3 linked regions of the Lepisosteus oculatus genome follow. The protein of the gene in region 3 binds, or shares a complex with, the protein of the main gene of each other region. Links are inferred from orthologs where the notes say so. Each region holds a gene or a part of one and is shown on either strand. Other genes may lie near its edges.

Region 1 (7,626 bases), on a different chromosome or scaffold from region 3:
AGCTGCAATGTCTTCTGCTTGACACAATCAGTTGTTTAATGGGTAGTCCAAACCTCTGCTCACTGAGCATTTAGTGATGCCTGTTAAGGCTGCAGGAGCTCTCCAGGACCAGGATTGTAGAGCTAAGCAATGAGACACTGCAGAGACAGGCCAATCACTGCACTGCACCCACTTCAGATGAGAGATCCATTCAGCGGCTCTCCAAACTATCTCCACTATTTTGTAGACAGGTTGAAGAGTCAACAAATCAGAATGTGTTTTTGAGTAAACATTCTAAAGTACAGGAAGATCATTAGATACTTTTACGATGAGGTGATGGATATTTGATATTACATTAGACACTACAACTACGAGTTAAATTGTTAACGTTTTTAGGAAGAAGTCAGACCCTCACAAGAGACAACACTCACCTCAGCCAGCTCAAACTCAATAAATGCAAATCCTCTGTGCTTTTCTGCAAACAGAGAGCAGTACAGGTATTAAAAGAACAGACAACATTTCACAATAACACAAAGTTTGCAAGCGAAAGGGTGCCGTTTGGTCCATCTAGCCTGCTTGGTAGTCAGAAGCTTACTGATCCCGTGACTAAATCCAGTTGTTCCATGAAAGAAACCTGCATCGACTTCAACACAGTTTCTATTTGGAAAACCAATAAAAAGGAACTTTAGGGAACCCAAATCATTCAAACCCAAATGCAATTTAGCTTTGATATTGTAGAGAACACCTCTATTCTTTCATGCTTTAAAGACAAAGCAGTAAGGACCGGGTCTTCACATCTCATCTGAAGTGTGGCACCTGCTAAAGCAGGGGAGGTCCAGTCACCTGTGTGGAGCTTTGGTTAGGAAACTGGTCCAGATGGAAGAGTGGCACCTCCTGCTCAGCCAGAACCACCTTTAGCACCAAACTGATAGTCCTTTGACTATAGTAATGGCAACACTGCTGTCAGACTACTTCCAAGGCTGGACAGTTAATTTTTGGCGGCCCTATCGTTTTCTGCAAGACATGTGGGAAACCATTTTTCGCAGCGTGTGTGTTAACCTGTCTCATAGTCCAGAGGGATCTGGATGTCGGTGATGTCGCCAAAGGGAATGAACGCCGCGTGCAGAACCTTCTCGTCCACCTCCTCCGCGAGGCCACCTGCGAGACAGGGAGACTCACACGTGACCAAGGCGATCCCCAAGCGTCAGTAAAGGGTCCCCGCCGCACGTCGGCATCACACTACAGGCCTATACGGACTTCTAGTCAGAGAGCATGTCAAATTTAACGACTGCAGCTGCTGAATCTCGCTGCCTTTTCTGTCCTAGAGGGCGTCAAATTATACGACTAGGAAAAGCAGGGGGTGACTAATTACACGATTCCCTCACGACGTTTCATCACAGTTTCAAATCTCGTGTTGCACCGCAAAAGTACCGTGGGGTCCCCTCGTTTTGGCAGCCCATCAACGTAGAGCACACTGGAATAGGAGGAGGAGCGCCGCGCGAAAGTAAACAAACAACATGGAGGACGAGCACGGAAACATCCTGACAAGGGTGACACAGGCATTGTTTTCCACAAATAGACCCCTTCAAAAATATCATTCTTCTTTATAAATATAGAACGAATTTACAAAAATAAAACAGTTAAAAATATAAAACACCTTTAAAACAAATAGTGTAAACAAATTAGTATTGCGCTAGAACGTGTAATATAATGGGCACATTATCTCACGAGTACACACCTGGCTCACTGCACAACACTACGACTTGCGACTCGCTACCAGAAAATCAAACGGTGTGATTTTATCGTAGCGAGTTGCAGAGAGTGGTGGGGGCTGTTAAGAGCGCTATGACTGAGTCGCTGGGGGTGTCACACTACACAGCTGACGGTAACGGGCGCACACTGCGACTCTACAACTCGCTGTGAGTTTCTTCCGATCGTGTACATGAAGGCTACAACTGAAAATCCTAGGAAAAGTCACGTAGTGTGACGCCGGCATTAGGGACCTAATGGGATATATAGGGGGATTGCTCCCCAGTAGAACAACGCAAGAACAAGGTAAACGTGGAGGTTAGGATTTTTGCCCATGTGAGCTAGCACACAGGGGCTTTTTCCATGAGAATCAATGAAATAAAAGGAGGTTGTAGAACAGAAGTGAGACTAAATGTGTGTTTCAGACTTAGCTACTCAAAAACAGTATACAGTATAACTATACATCCACACAAAACATTTACCAGTTTTACTATATCCTTTCACTCACTTTTATCTCGACTTACCAATCATTTTAACAAAACATCAATTTAAGCAAACGTCTGTTAAGCTAACACTTGTTTCTATCATATTGCTTTCTGAGAAGTAGACAAGTTGGGCGTGATCATCAACTCATACAATAGTCCACAAGAGTACTCAAAGGACTTCAAATAGTGCCTGGGTGCAACCATCAAGTCGGTGTTTTCCCAATATGTCAACTTAAATCGGGGCTGACAAGCGTCTCAAACAGCAAAAGACTAAAACTGAACAGAAATAAACCATTCAGAATAAAAACAATCGACATTTAAGGGATACGCATGTGGTGGTCAAGCTTTTCACAAAACATAGTAAAGTGCAACTGTAATCTGTCGCTTTAATTACGTCATTGTCCCGCTCATCGTTTGAATCTGCTAGAGGTACCGCTGCCAGCCAGGGCTATTTTTTTAAATGCACGGCATGCTTTTGCAATTCATCCTTTAAATTAAAAACAAAGTGTTTATCAAAAGACACTATGGTGAGATGGGCATTGGGGATCAAGGAATGAGTTCACCAAGAAACCATTAACACTTATTGAAACCTAATCTTCAAGACTAAGACAAAGAAAGAACCGTATCTTACAGAGCAGTAAAATGTCATTCAAACTTTCTTATTTCTTCATACAATTCACAAAAGCAGTTTTTTAAACAACTTACCAACATACAGCACACGCTTGGCGGCCGCCATCTTCACTGTGCCCTTTGACCCAACATAAACCCCGCCCTTTCCTGTGCAACTCCTTCAGATGTCCGTTCCGTGCGGCAGTAAGTCCCACACGTGGTTCAGTATAGATCCGTGAGATTGTGCGCGTCCGAGTTCAGTGTTAGGCAGAAATTACACCCATTTTTAAATTGCCGTAGTTTTTGTTTTGAGCCTATATGACCGCTGAAGATTGGCGGCTAAAAAGACATCAAGTAGGTTGTGTCGCTGGATGAATTTCAGTACTGTGGGATTTGTTTGTCCGCTTCAAACTGTTTTAAAAAAAGATGCATTTTACGGTTCCCGTGGAAAAACTGGTGTTGCCCTCTAACAAGAGGATAAGACGAGGCGAACAAGAAGGGAACGAGAGGGTAAGGATAGAGACACACCCAGGGGCAAGTTCATCAATGTTTCATCCTTTATTGAGAAAGTCACACCATCCAGGGATTACAGGGGTCGGAGGTTTCAACCATCCCAATCAAATCACCACAACTCAAAAGCCTGCAGTCAAAAGTTTTTTTCCCCAGGGAGAGAAAAAAAAACAGTCCTGGCCACAAGAAACAAACAGTTCAAGTATAGTATTTGTTAAAAACAAATCCCCCTTTCAGCTTGTACTTATATAATTTAAATATATATATATTTCATTTATTAATTACTAAAATATAATTTAAAAGAATTGTAATTATATGTTTTTTTTAAGTTGTTCAAGTATGGTTTTATTTTTGCATTCAGTTTACAGGAAGAACCAGGTAAATGCGACAGCGAAGACCACTGGATCCCTCTTCTTTGGGTCTAGTTCTTGAAAAAGCCTGGAAAATGAAAGAAACCTTTATTCCCCTTTCCTGGAAAAAAGCCCCCCATGTCCCTTCTGTAAGCACATGTCACCCCCCCCCCCCCCCCACCCACCCCCACCACGCAGCACATCTTCCGCTGCCTCCTGTATCGATCAGATCAGATCAGATGCTGTACCACAGCAAAAGCAGAGTGAAGTATAGCTGAGTGGTAAGAGGCATGGTATGTCACAGTGTAGCACAAACCACAGCAAGCCCCAGGATAACAGACGCAGTCGCTGGAAATTTTAAAAGCCCTTGCACAGGTTTTGATGCCCCCTGCTTTGAAGGATGCAGGTTTGGGACAACGTGGAAAATGTCCCAAAGACAGAACAGCGGTGTGGCTGTTAGGTGTGATGGCCAATAGGGGGAAGCACTGTTCAGAGAAGGCTTCCAGGGCAATACTGGGAGGTGCACAAAATGCCTAGTGAAAAGATTGCAGATCTGCTTCTGTCATAAAGTAGGAAAGAACCAGCCAAGCACGTCTGATCTGTCGCTCTTCTTCAGCGGAGGGGTGCGAAGCCCCCCAAGTTGCGGTTTCTGCAGTCTGGCACCGAGCAGAGCCTCCACGGCCACAGCCACCCTTACCCGTCAGGAGGTCGCAGCCGTGGTGATGACCCCCACCTTCTGCGCAGCGTCCTTCTTTGCCTGGTGAGCCTGGAGCACAGCAACGGCCTCTTCAACCTGAGTCATTGCAGTGCAATGCAATATAATTCAATTACAACAAGACACAAGACTGGACAACACACAGCTGTACGGCTGCATGCAATTCAGCTTCCCCGTCTTGATGGAATGGGCTCGTACAGCCGTTCAGCACATGGAAGGGACCCCAGGACTCTTTTATTAAAGAATGAGTGATCCTGAATCACTGACAAACAGTCATTATTGCAATACAGTGCTTATAAGACTCAAGACCACGTATCTGCAATGGATGCTGCCACCTTCTAGCCTGAACTCCTCTGATCTCGGAAACTACAGCTTTGGCAGGACCAGAATGGGAAAACCCCTGGTGAAAAACTAGATTGCTCCTGCATGTGGGATTCGAGGTCCAGCAGGTGATTCTTCCCTTTGGATCACAATTCATGAAACCACCGCCCCAGTATGACTGGAGACACTCTGCTAGAGCAGATGTTGTCCTATTGGATGACATGTTAAAACCGAGGTCCCAACTACGTGACTCTTAAAAGAGCCCCTGACACTGACCCTGAGATTCAGCGCCATGGTTAAATCCCAGTTGTACGATCTAGCCTACTACAAACTCCCTGTTACCCCAGGTGGCAGAGCAGTCCCTGGCTTCTCCACCTGCCCTGCTGTGCAGTTGGGCAGCAGTGTGTCACCCAGGTGGGCGGGTTGCGGAAGGCTTTCCCATCCTGTCGGTAAAGACGTACAGGGATCCCCTGGGATGATCAGTGTAATCCATCGGCTGAGTTTCCCTGCGTGGAGCCGGCCGCGTACCTTGGAGCGCAGGGACTCATGGGACTCCAGCATGTGCAGCAGCTCTGAGTTATCGATCTCCAGCAGCATTCCGGTGATCTTCCCAGCCAGGCTGGGGTGCATGGCCTGGATCAGGGGGAACAGGCGCTCCCCTGGATTGAGAGAGAGGAAGTAAAGGAGAGTCAGGAGAAGAAGAGGGTGAAATGTGATCTCCTTAGACCTAGTTTTTTAATGTTTGTGTTATTGCGCCTGATTTATTATTATTTTATAATGTTCAAAAGTAGCATCCAGTCTAAGAATCACCTGTTTTAAATCACCCTACCTCTGATTTATGGTCAGCCCTAGCAGTAGGTTCTACAGACTTATGCTCCACACAGAAGGCATCATGACACAAGGGCAAGTAACATACAGTGCAACATTTGATCAAAATCCCGTTTTGGTAATTTTGTTGAAAATGAGAGGTGAGTAAGGATGACAGGAAATTGACTTCTCCCAAGCAGGGAGAGGTGAGGGAATCCTCCATCCATGAGAAGCTGAGAATGAAGCTGAGAAGATGAGAACAGCAAACTCTTCCTCCTCAGTACTAAGCTATCCCTAAACATCTTTTTTGGATCCAAGCTGCTGACCAATCGACCAGCAAGTGGGAACTGCTCCTGCACCGATAAGGACACTGAGGGTGAGAAGACACTCAATGGCGTCTCGTAATCACCCAGCATCTGCTTCTGCTCCTGTGGGGGGGCGGCGGCCAGCATCGAGGCGGTGAGGGGCTCCTGTCCCTGGACGTGCACCGCCGGCTGGGTCTGAGGAAGGCAGAGAGAGCGTGTGGGACAGGCACCTCCGACACCAGTAGGTGCTGACTACCTCCTGCGTCTATCCCCAGCGGAGCCCGAGAAGCCGTCCGTACCTGCTGCAGGGAGAGGGGCTGCATCACCTGGGGCGGGGGGTTGCGCACACTGGTGGCGTATTTGTAGGGTGGGACGGCCCTTGGCGTTGGCACTGCCACGGAGGGACGGGGGCCCATGGTCTGACCAGCCCCTCCTACAAACACACAGCAAGAGCAGGAGAGCGAGAGCTCAGTCCCAGAGTGCAGGTCTGACCCGAGACCTCATTTTCCATCAGAAAACAACAACTGACAAATGCAAGTGACCTTTTTAGGCCTCACACAGCTCCGTAGTTTTAATCCTCCCTTTCTGCACTTCCCTCTTCCTTACCCATTCTCTGCGCCCCAGCTGGGATTCCCCGGGGGCCTTGCGTGCTGGAACCGGGCGCCAGGTGCCGCAGGTTGGCACGGGGCCCGCTCTGACGCAGGGCGCCAGGCATTGCCTGAAAGCCACCTGCAGGGGGAAGGACAGAGGGGGAGGAGATGAAGGGAAGGAGCTCTCTGCGTCTCTGCTCACCCAGGAGTATTTATGATAAGAGCTTGAGCAGGGAAATTAGGTGAACTGGCAGACAGTATGCATTCTCTTGCTTATCCTGTTTAAAGTACGTGCAGTTAAAATCGATGGCATCGCAGATGTATTGGTGCTTCCAGCACAAAAGGATTCAAGCTTCACATGGTCACCACCCCTCTGAAAAACGGGACAGTCCATTTCCTCTTTCACTCCCGCCCACCCCTCACCCCCGGGGGCTCAGAGCTCCTCACCCTGTGGTCGGCCCCCCTGCTGCTGCCAGCGTGGGTTGGGCCTCATCTGTGTCAGCTGATTTGGCGCGTAGTACGTCGCTCGGTTCTGGGCCTGGAAGAAAGACACACAGGTAAAGCAGACGTGACCTTTCCCCAGCTCGCGGGGGGCACAAACACCCCCACGCTTCATTTCACCCCCGTTCTCCCCCGCACCTGTGGCACGGCGGGCATGAAGTAGCCGCCGGCGGGCTGGAACTGGTTGATGATGGCATTGGCGGGCATGGCCCTCATGCCGGCGATGCGCTGCATGTACTGGTTGGTGAGGTGAGCCTTGCGCTCCTCCTTGCGCTGAGCCAGCGCCACGTACAGCGGCTTGGAGCCCACGATGCGCCCGTTCATCTCCGTCACGGCCTTGGTGGCCTCCTCCGGGGAGGAGAAGCACACGAACCCGAAGCCCTTGGACCTCCCTTCCTCCAGCATCACCTGGGGAGACAGAGGGAGGCAGCAGCATCAGGACCGGAGCGCCTACTGCACGGGCATGGCCCTTCACTCTGCAGGCTGGCACTGCAATGCTCTTCCGTTCTTATCAACACTGTCCAGTCCTCCACCATGTTCCTACAGCCTCTCCTGAATGTGCTGTCCTTTCCTACGGTTGTGTTGTGATCTGGGGAAGACCTACCGCAGTGAAGTTTTACGTAGGCCCGTTAACGAGCAGCTAGACCAAATGCTGGGCTGTGAGCGAGAAGTGAGACACCATTAACACAGAGCTTCTGAAATTGT
Region 2 (7,604 bases), on a different chromosome or scaffold from region 3:
TGATGGCGGAACAGGAGTCGTTCAAGCTCACTTAAAGAGCGTTTGAGCAGCAATCCCAGGGGATGAGCTCATTTATCTGGGATTAACGCGGAGGCTCCCGGCGATATTAACACAAATATGGAGCATGACTGTGTTTCTGGGGAGGTTGGGGATGAGCTCAGGGATAAAGCGCCTTTATAAAAGAGCTGTGGTCCTCTTGCTGTCTGCCGATCGGAGTGTGTTCAGCTCCTGCAGTGCCTGTGACTCCCAATACAGCTCTGAGACTACACCTGAGGTGTTTAAATATTCATTTATTTTGTGTCTCGCCCGGCTGGAGTTTAACAATGACTGCTGCGGACTCAAACACAAAGGGAGGGACCCAGAGTGGCTCCAGGGAAGGACGTCAGGTGAGTAATCAACAGAGATGCTGTGTTCTTCTATTCATCGCTTCTGGGTCTCCTTCATGAAAGCCTGGAGAAAATCTGGAAGGTTTTCAGGGGGAGGTGTCAGATCTAACGTGTGCTTCGGTTAAGAAAACTAACTCAGTAAATTGCTTATTTTGCTTATAAAAATAAAATGAGCTGGAAGACTGTAGATTAAAAACAATGGAAGTTGTGCCACTGGGATGGGTTTGCTTGCTTAGGTGTCTCATAATAAACTTTGCATTCTGATTGGCTGGCCAATTTAATCGTAACCACTGATAGGCTACCACTATCAACATTTTTGTAGTTTGCTAATTGGTCAATCAATGCTGTTAATCTGAATGGGAAGAGTGCTGATTGGCTACTTGGGCACTGTGTTATATTGTTATGTGCACACCGATGTTGAGAAGGTTAAAAAAAGGTGTCAGGATATCAAGTCCAAGACATCTGTTTGCGATCCTTCCAAGTTTAAAAGATTTAAAAACGTTTAAGAAAGTTTCTTTTTTTTATTCCCTCTAAGCAACGCATCCGTTTCTCGCTGTGGTTTTGTGAGCGAGCACTGCAGTGTCACTTTTTGTCCACTAGAGGGCAGACACCGAGCACACAGAGGCCGACAGCTTCTTCCAGCTCCTGAGCCAAGTGCAGGGAGGCCGTCTGGATGAGCAGCGCTGCCCCATTGACCTGGGCAAAACCGTCAGCACCCCCAGCGGGACCCCCACTGCTGGTGAGTACCCCCGTCGAGCGCCCCTAGCCTGGCTTCCACAAGGGTCTCCATTCTGGCCACACGGACCACACACAAACACGAATATGAGTGGAGAAACCCAGGACTCATGTCATCCTTCTTTCCATCTCTCTCTTCCTCTCTCCCTCCTCCTCTCTGTCCTCCTCTTCCTCCTCCTCCCTCCATCTCCATTCTTTTCTGTCCCACTCTCTCCCTATCTCTCCTCCTCTCTCTCTTTCTTTATCCCTCTCTCCCACTCCCTCCCTCTCTCCTCCTCTCTTCCTCCTCTCTCCACCCTCTCTCCTCCTCTCCTCCTCTCCTCCTCTCCTCCTCTCCTCCTCTCACTCTCAGGCTCTGCTGGCCCAGAGATCGATGACCTCTTTGACCTCCTGATGACCACTCAGAGTCATCGCCTTGACGACCAGCGGGTGTCGCTTGGGCCGTTGCCTTGTGGGCGTGATGAGGGGGCAGGGCAGGGGGCGGAGCAGCTCTGCAGCATGGTCTTCAAGCTGCAGGTGAGCAGCAGCAGGGTGGGCATGGAGAGGGGGCAGGGCAGGGGGCGGAGCAGCTCTGCAGCATGGTCTTCAAGCTGCATGTGAGCAGCAGCAGGGTGGGCGTGGCGAGGGATCAGGCAGGGGGCGGGGCAGCTGTGCAGCATGGTCTTCAAGCTGCAGGTGAGCAGCAGCAGGGTGGGCGTGGCGAGGGATCAGGCAGGGGGCGGGGCAGCTCTGCAGCATGGTCTTCAAGCTGCATGTGAGCAGCAGCAGGGTGGGCGTGGCGAGGGATCAGGCAGGGGGCGGGGCAGCTCTGCTGCATGGTCTTCAAGCTGCAGGTGAGCAGCAGCAGGCAGTGCCTAGGGGCCACAGCGCCATGAACCCGCGTTTTAAACTGCCTGTTTCTGCCCTGTGTTGCACGCAGGGGTCCAGGATGGAGGACCAGCGCTGCCCCACTCCCGGGGCCCCCCCAGGGCCGCCTCGACCCCCCACATCCTCGGGGCCCATCGCTCCTGGAGATGACTACTTCTCCTTCATCAACCATGTTCACACGGCACAGCTGGGAAAGAAAAAGACACGTCCATGAGAGGGACTTGGGGGGGCTGGGGAGAGGGGGGAGAGAAGGCACCGAGGGAGAAGGCACTCAGGGCTTTCTACGCAATAAGAAGGAGGCTCTTCAACATCAACCCACCAACAAGAATCTGGCTCCAAATATTTGAAAGTGTAATCCAACCCATTGCCCTATACGGCAGTGAAGTGTGGGGTCCCCTCACAGACCAGGATTACACTCAATGGGACAAACACCCCACAGAAACTCTGCACATGGAGATCTGTAGAAACATCCTCCATGTGCAGAGAAAAACACCAAACAACGGGTGCAGGGCTGAATTAGGCCAGTACCCACTATTGATAAAAATACAGAAAAGAGTATTAAAGTATTGGCTACACCTAAAAAACAGAGACCAAAATTCCTACCACCACAAAGCCCTACTGAGCCCAAAACAGAGCCCCCTGAGCCAGCTGGTCCTGAGGCTCACTGACCTGATCCACACCAACACTAACCAGCATCAGGATAGTACTGCAAGAGCACCACAACTCAGACTCAGCCATATCACAGCACAGATCAGACAATAATATCTCACACACTGGGACACACACACAAATACAACATAAACTGGAATGCTACAGAACCCTAAACAGACAATACACACTAGCCGAATATTTGACCAAGGTAAGAAACAACAAACAGAAACAGACCCTGACGAAGTACAGGCTCAGTGACCACAGCCTGGCTATAGAAACTGGGCGACACAGGCAGACCTGGCTGCCCAGAGAGGACAGGTTGTGCTCCCACTGCCAGCGGGGAGAAATAGAGACAGAGGTGCACTGTACTGTGACAAATACTCTGGGATTAGAGAAACATTCTTCCCGAAATTCAGAAATCTAGGCCCACCTGCCAGAATCACAACAGGTCCCAATCCTACTGGGAGAGGGAGGAGGGAACTCAGCTGAACTGGCAGCCCAGTATGTGATCTCCTGTCACAGCCTGAGGAACAGTGAGTCTGTCTCCCAATAATGCTAATTATGTTTACAGTATATGTAAATATTTTATGATATGTCTTTGTTGTAAATGTCTGTAATATGTCTGTAGATTTTACTTTATTTTTAATTTGTGTTCTGTTTCATCTTAATTTTATTTTTATTTGCTTTGGCAACACTGATTGTACTGCTAATAAAGCACCTTGAATTGAATTGAATTGAAATTGGGAGAGAGAGGGAGGAGAGAGGGAGAAAGAGAAAGAGGAGAGGGAGAGGCACAGGGAAAGAGAAGGACTTGTTCCTCTGGAGATCTCACTCTGTTTTTTGCGTATAGAAGCGTTAGATATACATTCTCCTGTCCTTGTCGTCAGTGTTTTGTAGTGAACTGTGGTGAATTGTGAGACTGGCCCAGGCTGTGGTTCAGGGCTTGAAGAATGCAGTGCACTGGGAGGGACACTGGTCAATCTGAGAGGAGGGCAGTCTGTATGACTTTCTGTATCTTCACTCCTAACAGCACAGAATATAAACTCCACAGCTGATGCACAAGAGTGTCCCTGAGTGTCTCTTTCTCCACACACTGCAGCCAGCTAGTGAAACCTCAAACAATCCCTGAACAGGCCAGTAACTGCCACCTCACCCTTATCAAGGAGACACTCATTTTAGTGGGGAGAGAGAATCAGGAGTGCATGACACACAACATGCCTGGTTGTTTTTTTGTTTAGTTTTATCCTGGATTTTATTTTAACTGTGCTCTTTTCGTTCTTGTTAATTCTCTGTGTATTCCACATCCACGACTGCAGCTCCAATCTTGGGCAAGACCCATTGTGAAACTCATACTGCTCCTGTTCGAGAGGCCCCGCAGTGACGTCTTTAGTCTGGCGTTCCAGAGTTAGAAAGCTCTGTGTGTTCCCCTCTACATTCTCTGCCCCCGATTTCCATCTTGCGATGCAGGTGTCTTGTCTGTGGCCAGGCCCAGACTATGGATCATGGGCAACACACAATGGACCTATACTTTAGATCACCACTCCTGGATAGTGTTCACTAGCTATAATCGCACCTCAGATAATCTTCCTTATTAAGGTTTTAAGGAATTCGACGCTTTGGGATGTTTTATCATCTAACCATTTAAAACAATGTTTTAATAATATTTTGCTTCCAAATTTCACATGTGGAAAAAAGCTTAACAAAACCATAATTACCAATCACACCCGAAGAAGGCTCCACAGTCGAAACGTTGTGCTTCCTTTCTTCTTTTTTCAGGATGGAATAAACCTTTAACTTGCTCCTTTGCATCATTATCAATATTCAGTTACATTATGTACACAGTACACTACGTCGTAGTACGTAACTTTCATACGTAGCGGGGCTTACCAAGACAAGCACGGTCATTGGCTGTCAGGATGACGCAGTGTGAATTGTCCAATGAGATTCCCGCAGTGGGCGGTGATTGGGGGATTCGTCGGTAGCGCGTTCTGGAAGTTAATTTATCACGGAATTTCAAACTTAATTTTGTTTTATACCATACATAATGCCGTCATTAACGGAAAAACGAGAGGTCACATTTGTAAGTAGGATTTTGTAAAGTCTTATTATTATTAACTGGAAAGTGTAGCTGTCGGGCCGTAGCGTGATTTTGAAGCTTGTTCCCCCCGTAGGCCTCGGTTGAGCCTCGGACTTGCCTGAGTCAGTGTAGGGGGGACGAATGCGTCCTGTTCTGGCGTGAGGGCTTTACGGATAGGGGGTCATCATCGGCATGGGCATTGTTAAAAGTGGGAAACTTGAGAGATGTGTACTTAAATTGAGACGCAGACCGCAGTTTCTCCAATTAATGTTTTTTTACTAATTTCAGATACACGTCTGCAGCGATTAAACAGTGACCAACACACGACTCGGATCTTTAAACAATCTTAATTTATTACTCAACAATTACGTTTGAAAGAATCAGCTTCATTCCTAATATCCCTCAGAAGACTTTGCATTTATGCAGTTTTCAGGCAGCATTTTAAACGCTCAGCTCGCAACTCGTCAAACGCGTGATGGGTTTTAAAAAGCAACTGGTGTATCGAAGAGGTAGACACGACTGACGGTACTTCTCCCCCTTTGTTAAATATGTACCCATACATACCAATACTTATCCGTGTCCCCTCTTCCCCCCTGCCCGTGTCTCTGTACACCCGTGATCTCTCTGAAGGTGCTGGATGATCACTGGGATAAATACAAACAGTCGTTTTCGCACAAACGTTTGATAAGGGGGAGCTGGGATCAGAAGGAACGGTGGTGTTTGCATTTTCGAAGACGCTGTTTTGCTCGCAACTTGTAACTTTTCCAACTCTCCTTCGTTCTGTCTCTCTCCCTCCCCCTCCTTCTGTCTGTCTTCCTCACTCCTCTCTCTCCCCGTCCTTCTGTCTCTCTTTCTCTCCTCCTCCTCCTCTGTCTCTGTCTCATTCTGTCCCTCTCTCTCCCCCCCTGTCTGTCTTTCTGTCTGCTGTCTGCCGGTCTGCAGGAGGAAGAAGACCTCCCCTATGAAGAGGAGATCATCCGGAACCCCTACTCCGTCAAGTGCTGGATGAGGTACATCGAGCACAAGCAGAGTGGTCCCAAGAGCGTCCTCAACATGGTGTACGAGAGGGCACTGAAGGAGCTGCCCGGCAGGTGAGGCCCGGCTCGGCCCGGCTCGCTCCCCCCCGGGAGACACAGACAGACTCTGCCCAGGGACCCGAGTTCAGAGAGGTCAGCTTGTTCGGTAGCTCGTTGACCCTGGCGTCTCATCACCAGCCCATTTCCTGAAGGATCCCTGGCATCCTGCTTTGACCGTGTGGCTGGGGAGCTTGTTCCACACCCCCACCTCCCTTTCTGTAAAGACGAGCGCTTTAAGACTGAGTCTGCTTGTAATCAGCCAGCTAGGTCCTGTGAAATAACTTTATGGAGTATTCTGCAGGCACGCCAGAAGTGACTGAAACCTTTGATCCTTTGAGAATTCACTTAGACAAGAGCCCATGAGTTAATTAATTGAAGGAAACCGTAGCATTCGCTTCAACAGCATGTCAGGGTAGTTTGTTCCTGACTCCCGTGATATTCTGTGTAGAAAAGCGCCTCCTGTTCTCGGGTCTAAATGCTGTGCCCAGTTGTGTTCTCTGGTTCGTGTTTCGCTGTTGGTTCTGAAGAAGTCCGCTGCGATAACGTGCAGTCTGCTGCATGTGTATGTATGTGCTCCGCTGACACTGATTGAGCCTGGGCTGTGTCAGTAGCCAACTGTGATCATGACTCCTCAGAGGGGACATCACGACTGACTGAGTGAATTCTGGTTTAGGGGTGCCACGGGCCTCAGCTGTGCTTCCTGGGGCCTGCTGCCCCCAAATGGCTTTCACAGGCCGTGGGTGTGTAGGACTGTTGTGCCCACAGGTTTCTCCCTGGGTGGTACTGGGGCTGATTTCTAATCACTGGGGTATTCAAACAGAAAGTGACCACAAAGAAAATCTCTTCAGTCACTATATTCAAAATCTAGAGACAGATCTTGAACATTTAATATCAAACCTTCAGGTTAAAAGGCTGGTATTTTGTTGCGGTTATTTTGTGCAGCATTCAGGGTTGGCAAGCCAAATCAACCATTATAACCACAGCAGCATTTCTAAGCATAATGAAGCAAAGGCCTTCGATTCCGGAGTTACGGTAATCGTTTTGGGACAGGAAGGCACGTAGTTGAGGGGTGAAGCGAAGAGCAGAATCTAAATGCAGTTCAAGTTGTGCAGGTGAGGAGTTTTTCACCTCTCAGTGGTTGCTGATTAAAGTCCCGGCTGTCTCTGCAGTTACAAGCTGTGGTACAACTACCTGAGGGAGCGCAGGAAACAGGTGAAGGGGAAGTGTGTCACCGATCTGTCCTTCGAGGAGGTCAACAACTGCCACGAGAGGGCGCTGGTCTTCATGCACAAGGTAGCGGCCCGTCAACCAACCACAAGATCTGTTCCGTCCCGTCTGCGTTTCCTCGGGAGTAGGGCTTTATTCTGGTACCCGACCAGTTAAAAACCTTGCAGAGAGTTTATGAGAGGCAAACCGGTTGCCCCCTCCAGAAAAACTGCCTGTGTCTCAGTGAGCACGTTGGAGGAGCAAGAGTGCAGTGCTTGTTCTGAAGGAGCCTCTCCCGTCTCTCTCCTCTCTCAGATGCCGCGGATCTGGCTGGATTACTGCCAGTTCCTGGTGGATCAGTGCAAGATCACGCGCAGCCGGCGGACGTTCGACCGCGCGCTGCGGGCGCTGCCCGTCACCCAGCACTTCCGCGTCTGGCCGCTCTACCTGCGCTTCGTCTGCCGCTACCCGCTGCCCGAGACGGCCGTCAGGGTCTACCGCCGCTACCTCAAGGTGAGCGCGCCGCCGCCGCCGCCGCCCCCCTCCCCCGCGGGGAGAGCCGAGGGCTCGGCCCGCAGCGCACGGGAAGGGGGCCTGACTCTCTGT
Region 3 (7,472 bases):
GCGGCAGTGGGCTGGGAGGCGGGCACTGCCTGTGGAACCACCAATCCCGCCTGAGGCTTCAGCGTCGCCAGGGCTACAGAGAAAGCAGGGAGCTATCAGTTTGATGTCTAACAAGGATGAACGACAACAGGCGACCAGACAAAAGGCACTGAGAGCTGTACCTTCTCTGGCAGCGGTGACCTCCTTGGTGAGCCGGGCAATGACACGGCAGGCGGCATCATGCTGATACAGGGCGTGAGACAGCTCCTGACGAGTCGTCTGCAGCTGCTGTCTGAGAGTGAAGCTGTGCAGCATCACTGCATCCTGAAAGACAGACAGTGGAGTTACTACAGCAAATAAAACACGACAGACCCTCACTGGACACTCCAGTACATTAACACTGAGAGAGAGGGGTTAATACAGTCCAGACACACTGACTGGACACTCCAGTACATTAACACTGCACTGAGAGAGGGGTTAATACAGTCCAGACACACTGAGAAACTCACCCACTCATCCTGTAGTGCCTTGAGAATGGCAGGAATACTGGTTGCAGACGGAGCCTTGGGCCTGATGGGGTGAGAGACTGAAAGAGAGAGAGGGTGGTTAATAGAGACGGTCCCTCTGGAACTCGACAGGTCCTGCTGACACCAGCAGTGGGAGCTCCGCGCATCAGGATCTCGATTCCTTCAGCACAGAAATCAGAAACTGTTTGGACTGTACTTAATGGGTTTTTTTTCTGAAGTCTCTAGCAGTACACAAGGCTTGCTTCTGCATAAGCCAAGAACACAAATAAGACCCCAAGGCTCAGACACCAGGGACCTGGAACAAACTTCTTTCTTCACTAAAGCTAGTTTACGAGTGGGAGTGGGAGTGTGAGTGTAAAACAAACCGCCCTGCTATGACGTTGAAGCCGATACCCTGGACTCTTTAAAGAAACTGCAGGCCGAGATCCTCGGATCAGTTAGTAAGTAGAAGGGTTGGACGGGAAAGGAATCATGATATACATGCATTTGTTCCAGTGGAAGTGTTCAGTCCAACATGAAGGCTCCAATGCAGCACTTCCAGGGGCGAAAGAAGCTACAGCTCTCCCTGCCCCTGCTGGGATTAGACCCCAGCAGCTCTCGGCCGCTGCGGAGACAGGGGATAACTCCACGGCCGAGTCTGACACTGTGCACGAGTCAGAAGGGGCTGAGCACTCCGAGCCCCGCTACATCAGCAGGAACAGCAAGCACGCGTGTGCTTTCAGGTCTGCCGACAGCCTTCCCCGGCCGTGCAGGAGGACACGATGTTGTGCGGAAAAGGACCCTTCCCCGCGCTGCTCGGCTAGATCCACCTCTCCCAGGACGTAGCTCCCTACCGGGTCAGCCATGCGGTAGAACACAGTGCTGAGGTTCATCTTTCACGCCTCCTACAGCAGCGAGCTGCTCAGGCATCCCAGCAGTGCAGCGTGGGAGATGGCAAGACACACCTCACCTTTGATGTCCACGAGCTGCTCTTCAGACAGCAGCTGGACAGCAGACGAGGTTGGGGTTAGGGTTAGACTGACAGCAGACACACAGAATCCTCACCCTTGATGTCTACAAGCTGCTCTTCAGCAGCTGGACAGCACTGGGGCTGGGATTAGGGTTAGATTGACAGCAGACACACAGAAGCCTCACTCTTGATCTCCAACAGATGGACAGCACTGGGGCTGGGATTAGTGATAGAGGGACAGCAGACACACAGAAGCCTCACCCTTGATGTCCAGCAGATGGACAGCACTGGGGCTGGGATTAGGGCTAGAGTGACAGCAGACACACAGAAGCCTCACCCTTGATGTCCAGCAGCTGGACAGCACTGGGGCTGGGATTAGTGATAGAGGGACAGCAGACACACAGAAGCCTCACCCTTGATGTCCAGCAGCTGGACAGCACTGGGGCTGGGATTAGGGCTAGAGGGACAGCAGACACACAGAGGCCTCACCCTTGATGTCCAGCAGCTGGACAGCACTGGGTTGGGATTAGTGATAGAGTGACAGCAGACACACAGAAGCCTCACCCTTGATGTCCAGCAGCTGGACAGCACTGGGGCTGGGATTAGGGCTAGAGGGACAGCAGACAAACAGAAGCCTCACCCTTGATGTCCAGCAGCTGGACAGCACTGGGGCTGGGATTAGTGATAGAGGGACAGCAGACACACAGAAGCCTCACCCTTGATGTCCAGCAGCTGGACAGCACTGGGGCTGGGATTAGTGATAGAGGGACAGCAGACACACAGAGGCCTCACCCTTGATGTCCAGCAGCTGGACAGCACTGGGGCTGGGATTAGTGATAGAGGGACAGCAGACACACAGAAGCCTCACCCTTGATGTCCACCAGCTGCTCCTCGGACAGCGGCTGGCCGGTGATGGGGTCAGCGCCGTTCTCCGCGATGTACTTCTCGATCAGCCGCCGCTCGAACACCTGGTTGGACACCGGGGACACGCAGGGGTGCTCCGGCACCTCGTGACAGACTGGGGGAGAGCAAGACGGAGTCAGTGTCCACTGAAGTTCACACAACCCCCCCTCCCACGGCAACACAGACACGGCTGTTAACCCACGAGGGTAACGGCCTCTCTGAAAATCATCCGGGAAAACAAAAGCAGTCGTCTTTGAACGTCTGCATCAGGCCCTGCGGCGCACAAACCCGCCTGTGCCCAGGCAGCAGGTACTGTTACCATCAGAACTGCAAGGCCAGAGGACCCTTGCACAGCTCCCTTCTCGAGTGGGGGAGCCTCACGCAGGACTGTGGGCTCACACGTGCAGTGGCACAATCCTGCCGCCGCCGATGTTACTTTTAGGCAGAAAAACCCGTCTCAATAAGCAGCGATGAGGCGCAGAGACTGCAACACGGGAGAGAAACGAACTTCCGTCACCTCCCCCGACCCACACTCCCACCTCACCTCAACTCAACTCGCGCACCCAAAACATTCCCAGAAACACAGGCTTTTTCTACACAACACACGAAACCCACGCTACTGCTGCTACTATCGGCAAATTCACGATGTGTATCGCCGCAAGCCCTGGAAAACTCGACTGCGTGCCGACATTTACAACGCGTCTTTACTTCACAATGAAACTCTTTTTTTCCGAGCTTTCCCGGCGGCCAGGACTTACTAGCACAAACGAAAGACATGATTCAAACCCTCCAGCCAACAACGGAATCGGGTGCTGGAGATCTCCGCTGTCCTTTCGGTAGATTTGATTTATTTTTTACACACTTGCCCCAGCGAATTACAACTCTGCAACAACACGCCGCGCGACTTAGTACCGCCGCGGCGCGCTCGGCATGCTGGGATAGCTTCCGAGAGCTCCCGGTCCTCCAGCCCCGCCTTCTCCCACATCTTGACCAATGACAGGTGTTCTTACTCGGCGCGATGCTCCTCCGACACCGCCCATTTGACAAATTGAGCCAATCCACAGGCGAATCACGACTTACAGGCCCGCCTCCTTCTGGGTCGAGAGAAAGGTTGTCGTTAGAGCGCCAGGTACTCTCATTTTCATTGGCTAAAAGAAATTTCTGTTAGCAGTATGCGACTAGAGTGGGAAAGCCAGTGAACGTGTGAGCTTGCAGGCCATCCTAAGAAATGTTACGTCTAACCCATTGGGTTGGTAGAAGCTATTAGCACTACAATCCCATCCAGCTGTTTCTTGAAAGAAACCAAGTGTGGAACAAGTGGCCCAGTTCAGCTGAGTTCGCTTGTCTTATGCACGAGTGCAATGAAATGCTTGTTTGCATGTATGCTCCAATACAAAGACATTGAGGAAACACCAAAATATAAACACAGAACAGCAGTGAAGTGAAATCACATACAATTTAAAATACAAGTCAGCACAAGAAATGTGGAAAAAAAACGTCAGTATGAGTCAGTGGTAGAGGTAGAATTGAATAATCTGAAGTAGTTCAGGTGGGGAGCTGCGTCAGCATGCGTAGGCTGCAATGGAACAAGTAATAGGTTTATTCCATGCTGAAAAGAGAAGAGAGAAAACGCAACGTTTCGGCACCTGAAGAAGGCTCAACGGCCGAAACATTGTGTCTTCTTTCTTCTCTTTTCAGCATGGATTGAATAATCTGACAGTTTGCAGGGAAGAAAGTGTCTCTGAATGTGGAGGAGGTTCGTGACTTTATGCTCCTGTAACGCTTACCAGCGGAAAGGGGGAAGAAACCAGGATAATTAATAATAATAATTGCTTACACTTATATAGCGCTTTTCTGGACACTCCACTCAAAGCGCTTTACAGGTAATGGGGACTCCCCTCCACCACCACCAATGTGCAGCATCCACCTGGATGATGCAACGGCAGCCATAGTGCGCCAGAACGCTCCCCACACATCAGCTATCAGTGGGGAGGAGAGCAGAGTAATGTAGCCAATTCATAGAGGGGGATTATTAGGAGGCCATGATTGATAAGGGCCAATGGGAAATTTGGCCAGGACGCCGGGGTTACACCCCTACTCTTTTCAAGAAACGCCCTGGGATTTTTAATGACCACAGAGAGTCAGGACCTCGGTTTTACATCTCATCCGAAGGACGGGGCCTGTTTACAGTACAGTGTCCCCGTCAATATACTGGGGCATTAGGACCCACGTGGACCACAGGGTGAGCGCCCCCTACTGGCCCCACTAACACCTCTTCCAGCAGCAACCTTAGTTTTTCCCAGGAGGTCTCCCATCCAGGTTCTGACCAGGCTCACACCTGCTTAGCTTCAGTGGGTTGCCAGTTGTGAGTTGCAGGGTGATATGGCTGCTATGTATGATGTATGAGTTGCAGGATGATTTGTATCCACTGATGTCGTTGAAGCCGATACTCTGGCTTCTCTCAAGAACCTGGACGAGGTCCTGCAGTCAGGTCAAGAGGCATGTCTTTACACAAAGGGCGGTGGGAGTGTGGAACAAGCTTCCCAGCCATGATGTTAAAACCAATACACTGGTTTCTGGATGCTGGATGAAATCCTGGGATCAACTAGCTCCTAACTACCCAACAGGGGGCGAACCGGTGGCTCTGTGGCTAAGGATATGCTCCTGTGGCTGGAAGGTTGCCGGTTCAAATCCCGCAGCCGGCAGAGGAATCCTACTCAGTTGGGCCCCTGAGCAAGACCCTTAACCCCAACTGCTCCAGGGGTGCCGTATAAATAGCTGACCCTATGGAAATATGAAATAATGAAATATAAAAGCTCCCTGTCTGTGTGTCTCATGGAGAGCAAGCTGGGGTATGGGAAAAGACAAATGCAAGAAATTGTATATGGCCAATAAAGTGGTCTTATCTGAAATCTGGTCTTGGGTCGGTGTGGGGGAGAGACACACAGGTCCCCTCACAGTGAGCATTCTCAGTCGAGTGAACGAGAAGTGCACACGGGCCTCTCGATTCCAACAGTCCTCCTGTTCTCACTGACGCCCCCTCCTGCCTCGCAGAGCCTGATCGCAGCCGCCGTCTCCAGCCCCCGTCCGCGGAGGACAGAGCTCAGCTCCGCTTGCAGTTCAAAGACTTTAAAGGGGTCACCCAAAACCACAGACACAGAACAGCAGCCACAGCCACAAACCCAGTCACCTCACACGCAGCTTAAATACAGGTCTGAATGAGCACATCAGGGTGAGCCAGTGACGGGGAGGAGAGGGGGGTCGGTGAAGATGCTGAGCAGTTTCGGGGCTCGGCGGTGGGGCGCCCCGTGAGGTTTCTTCCAGTTTGTTCACAATTACGATCCGTGGGTGAGCAAGAGAGTCCAACCCGCTCTTCCAAACCAGGAACCCCCTCTTCCTCGGGGGAGCACAGGGCCCGAGAGGGCAGGGCAGGGCAGGGTGGGGAGATCAGGACGCCGGAAAGCTCGGTGCGGGGAAGCAGGTGGCCGAGGGTGGCACCAGGGTGGCATGGCAGTGCCCCGCAGCCCAGGGCCTGACTGCAGGAGGGCAGTGCAGTGTGTAACGGCACAGCTGGCTGACTCGTGACCCAGAGGTGCTGTACGCAGTGTGTGAATTAAAGCCAGGGGCCCTCGGGTCAGGACCCGCACGGGTTGGGAAGTCTGTTAAGACGGGGGCGGCGGAGGCGCGGAGGCAGTTTTGCAGGATCGGTGTGAGAGCCCCGCTATCGCGTGGCAGAGATCTAACCTCCCGGGAGGTTATAATAATAATAGTAATAATGATAATAATAATTGCTTGCACTTATATAGCACTTTTCTGGACACTCCACTCAAAGCGCTTTACAGGTAATGGGGACTCCCCTCCACCACCACCAATGTGCAGCATCCACCTGGATGATGCGACAGCAGCCATAGTGCGCCACAACGTTCACCACACATCAGCTCTCAGTGGGGAGGAGAGCAGAGTAATGTAGCCAATTCATAGAGGGGGATTATTAGGAGGCCATGATTGATAAGGGCCAATGGGAAATTTGGCCAAGACGCCGGGGTTACACCCCTACTCTTTTCGAGAAACGTCCTGGGATTTTTAACTGCAGAGAGTCGGGACCTCGGTTTTACGTCTCATACATCTCACAGAATATGTTGTAGTCCTGTACTGGACGCTGTCCATTTGCCATTAGGGAATGACAATAATAAAGTTTACTTTGGAATTCAATTGCACACAAACTACAACTCCCGAAATGCAACGGTGCTCCAACGCCCCTCGCCAGGCACGGGCTTGGCTCCAATTTAACATGCATACTGTGTGAGTCACTCCGCTTTAGTCTGGCGGGTAGGGCGGGGCGGGGTGGCTCAGGTCGTTTAAGGAGATACAGCTCAGCAGAAGGCTTCTAACATTGTAGCGGTAACTAATATTAGCGATAGGAGCGTCCTAAACATTGCCCGTGTTTGCTCGCTTAGTTAGCCGAACTTTTAATTGCTTCGCTGTTTTAACTCGCTTTTTCCGATATCGTCAGCCTTTAATTAAAAAAAAATATTACTTCTTTAAAACAGCAACAAGTAGTTAAACCCGGATCGAAAGCTACATTAAGGAGCCCTCGTTTGGACTGAAGACAGACCTCCATTTGCACAAAACTCTCTTCTCCAGCGCCAGCTGTGTATTTTTTTAAAGATATCTATTTTTAGCCGCAGAAGGTCGCGGCTTAATGTGGTGTTTTAGATTTCAGTGCGACTTTATTTTATCTCCCAGTGAACTGTGCCTTCGTGTGGCTCAGCAGTCCAGACAAGGTTGTGCAGGCTGTGACAGAGGCGCATCTTATACCAGGATATATCATTTTTAATAAAATACATAAATCGCCGCTGAGTTTCAGTTGATGTTCTAAGTTTTTCGGGAGTCTTTTTAGCAACCTTTTCGTCGTCTTAGATTTAATCTTCTACAACCTGGTTTAACTGGGAAACGAGCGCGGCCTCTGGACTGCAGATACTTCATGAGGGAGAGCTGGTTCACTCGCACTTGAAGAGGTTCCTTTAAAATTGGATTTAAACTTCTATTATTGCGAGACAGCTGTGCGTTTTCTAAAAAAAAGGGTTGCTCTCTGATGAGTAACATTCTCAGCT

Evidence for each region.
Region 1: prpf19 (region 3) and ppie share a complex: the UniProt entries of both Homo sapiens proteins name them as parts of the XAB2 complex. The link is inferred for Lepisosteus oculatus from reciprocal best matches to the Homo sapiens genes PRPF19 and PPIE.
Region 2: prpf19 (region 3) and xab2 share a complex: the UniProt entries of both Homo sapiens proteins name them as parts of the XAB2 complex. The link is inferred for Lepisosteus oculatus from reciprocal best matches to the Homo sapiens genes PRPF19 and XAB2.

The regions. Positions count from the first base shown.
Region 1 is NC_090706.1:2,459,824-2,467,449, reverse strand, and holds the start of ppie (peptidyl-prolyl cis-trans isomerase E), read right to left. Parts: upstream 3,013-7,626; 5' UTR 2,950-3,012; coding exon 2,919-2,949; intron 1,138-2,918; coding exon 1,039-1,137; intron 455-1,038; coding exon 411-454; intron 1-410. Other genes in the region: pabpc4 (polyadenylate-binding protein 4), read right to left, coding at 4,383-4,475, 5,247-5,377, 5,935-6,025, 6,130-6,263, 6,437-6,559, 6,868-6,958, 7,060-7,329. UniProt on the Homo sapiens protein: Involved in pre-mRNA splicing as component of the spliceosome. Combines RNA-binding and PPIase activities.
Region 2 is NC_090706.1:14,358,287-14,365,890, forward strand, and holds the start of xab2 (pre-mRNA-splicing factor SYF1), read left to right. Parts: upstream 1-4,592; 5' UTR 4,593-4,683; coding exon 4,684-4,719; intron 4,720-5,658; coding exon 5,659-5,807; intron 5,808-6,961; coding exon 6,962-7,085; intron 7,086-7,313; coding exon 7,314-7,511; intron 7,512-7,604. Other genes in the region: G-protein-signaling modulator 1, read left to right, coding at 324-386, 987-1,125, 1,474-1,637, 2,041-2,202. UniProt on the Homo sapiens protein: Involved in pre-mRNA splicing as component of the spliceosome. Involved in transcription-coupled repair (TCR), transcription and pre-mRNA splicing.
Region 3 is NC_090701.1:41,961,315-41,968,786, forward strand, and holds the start of prpf19 (pre-mRNA-processing factor 19), read right to left. Parts: upstream 3,303-7,472; 5' UTR 3,136-3,302; coding exon 3,117-3,135; intron 2,474-3,116; coding exon 2,324-2,473; intron 566-2,323; coding exon 489-565; intron 304-488; coding exon 162-303; intron 74-161; coding exon 1-73. UniProt on the Homo sapiens protein: Ubiquitin-protein ligase which is a core component of several complexes mainly involved pre-mRNA splicing and DNA repair. Required for pre-mRNA splicing as component of the spliceosome.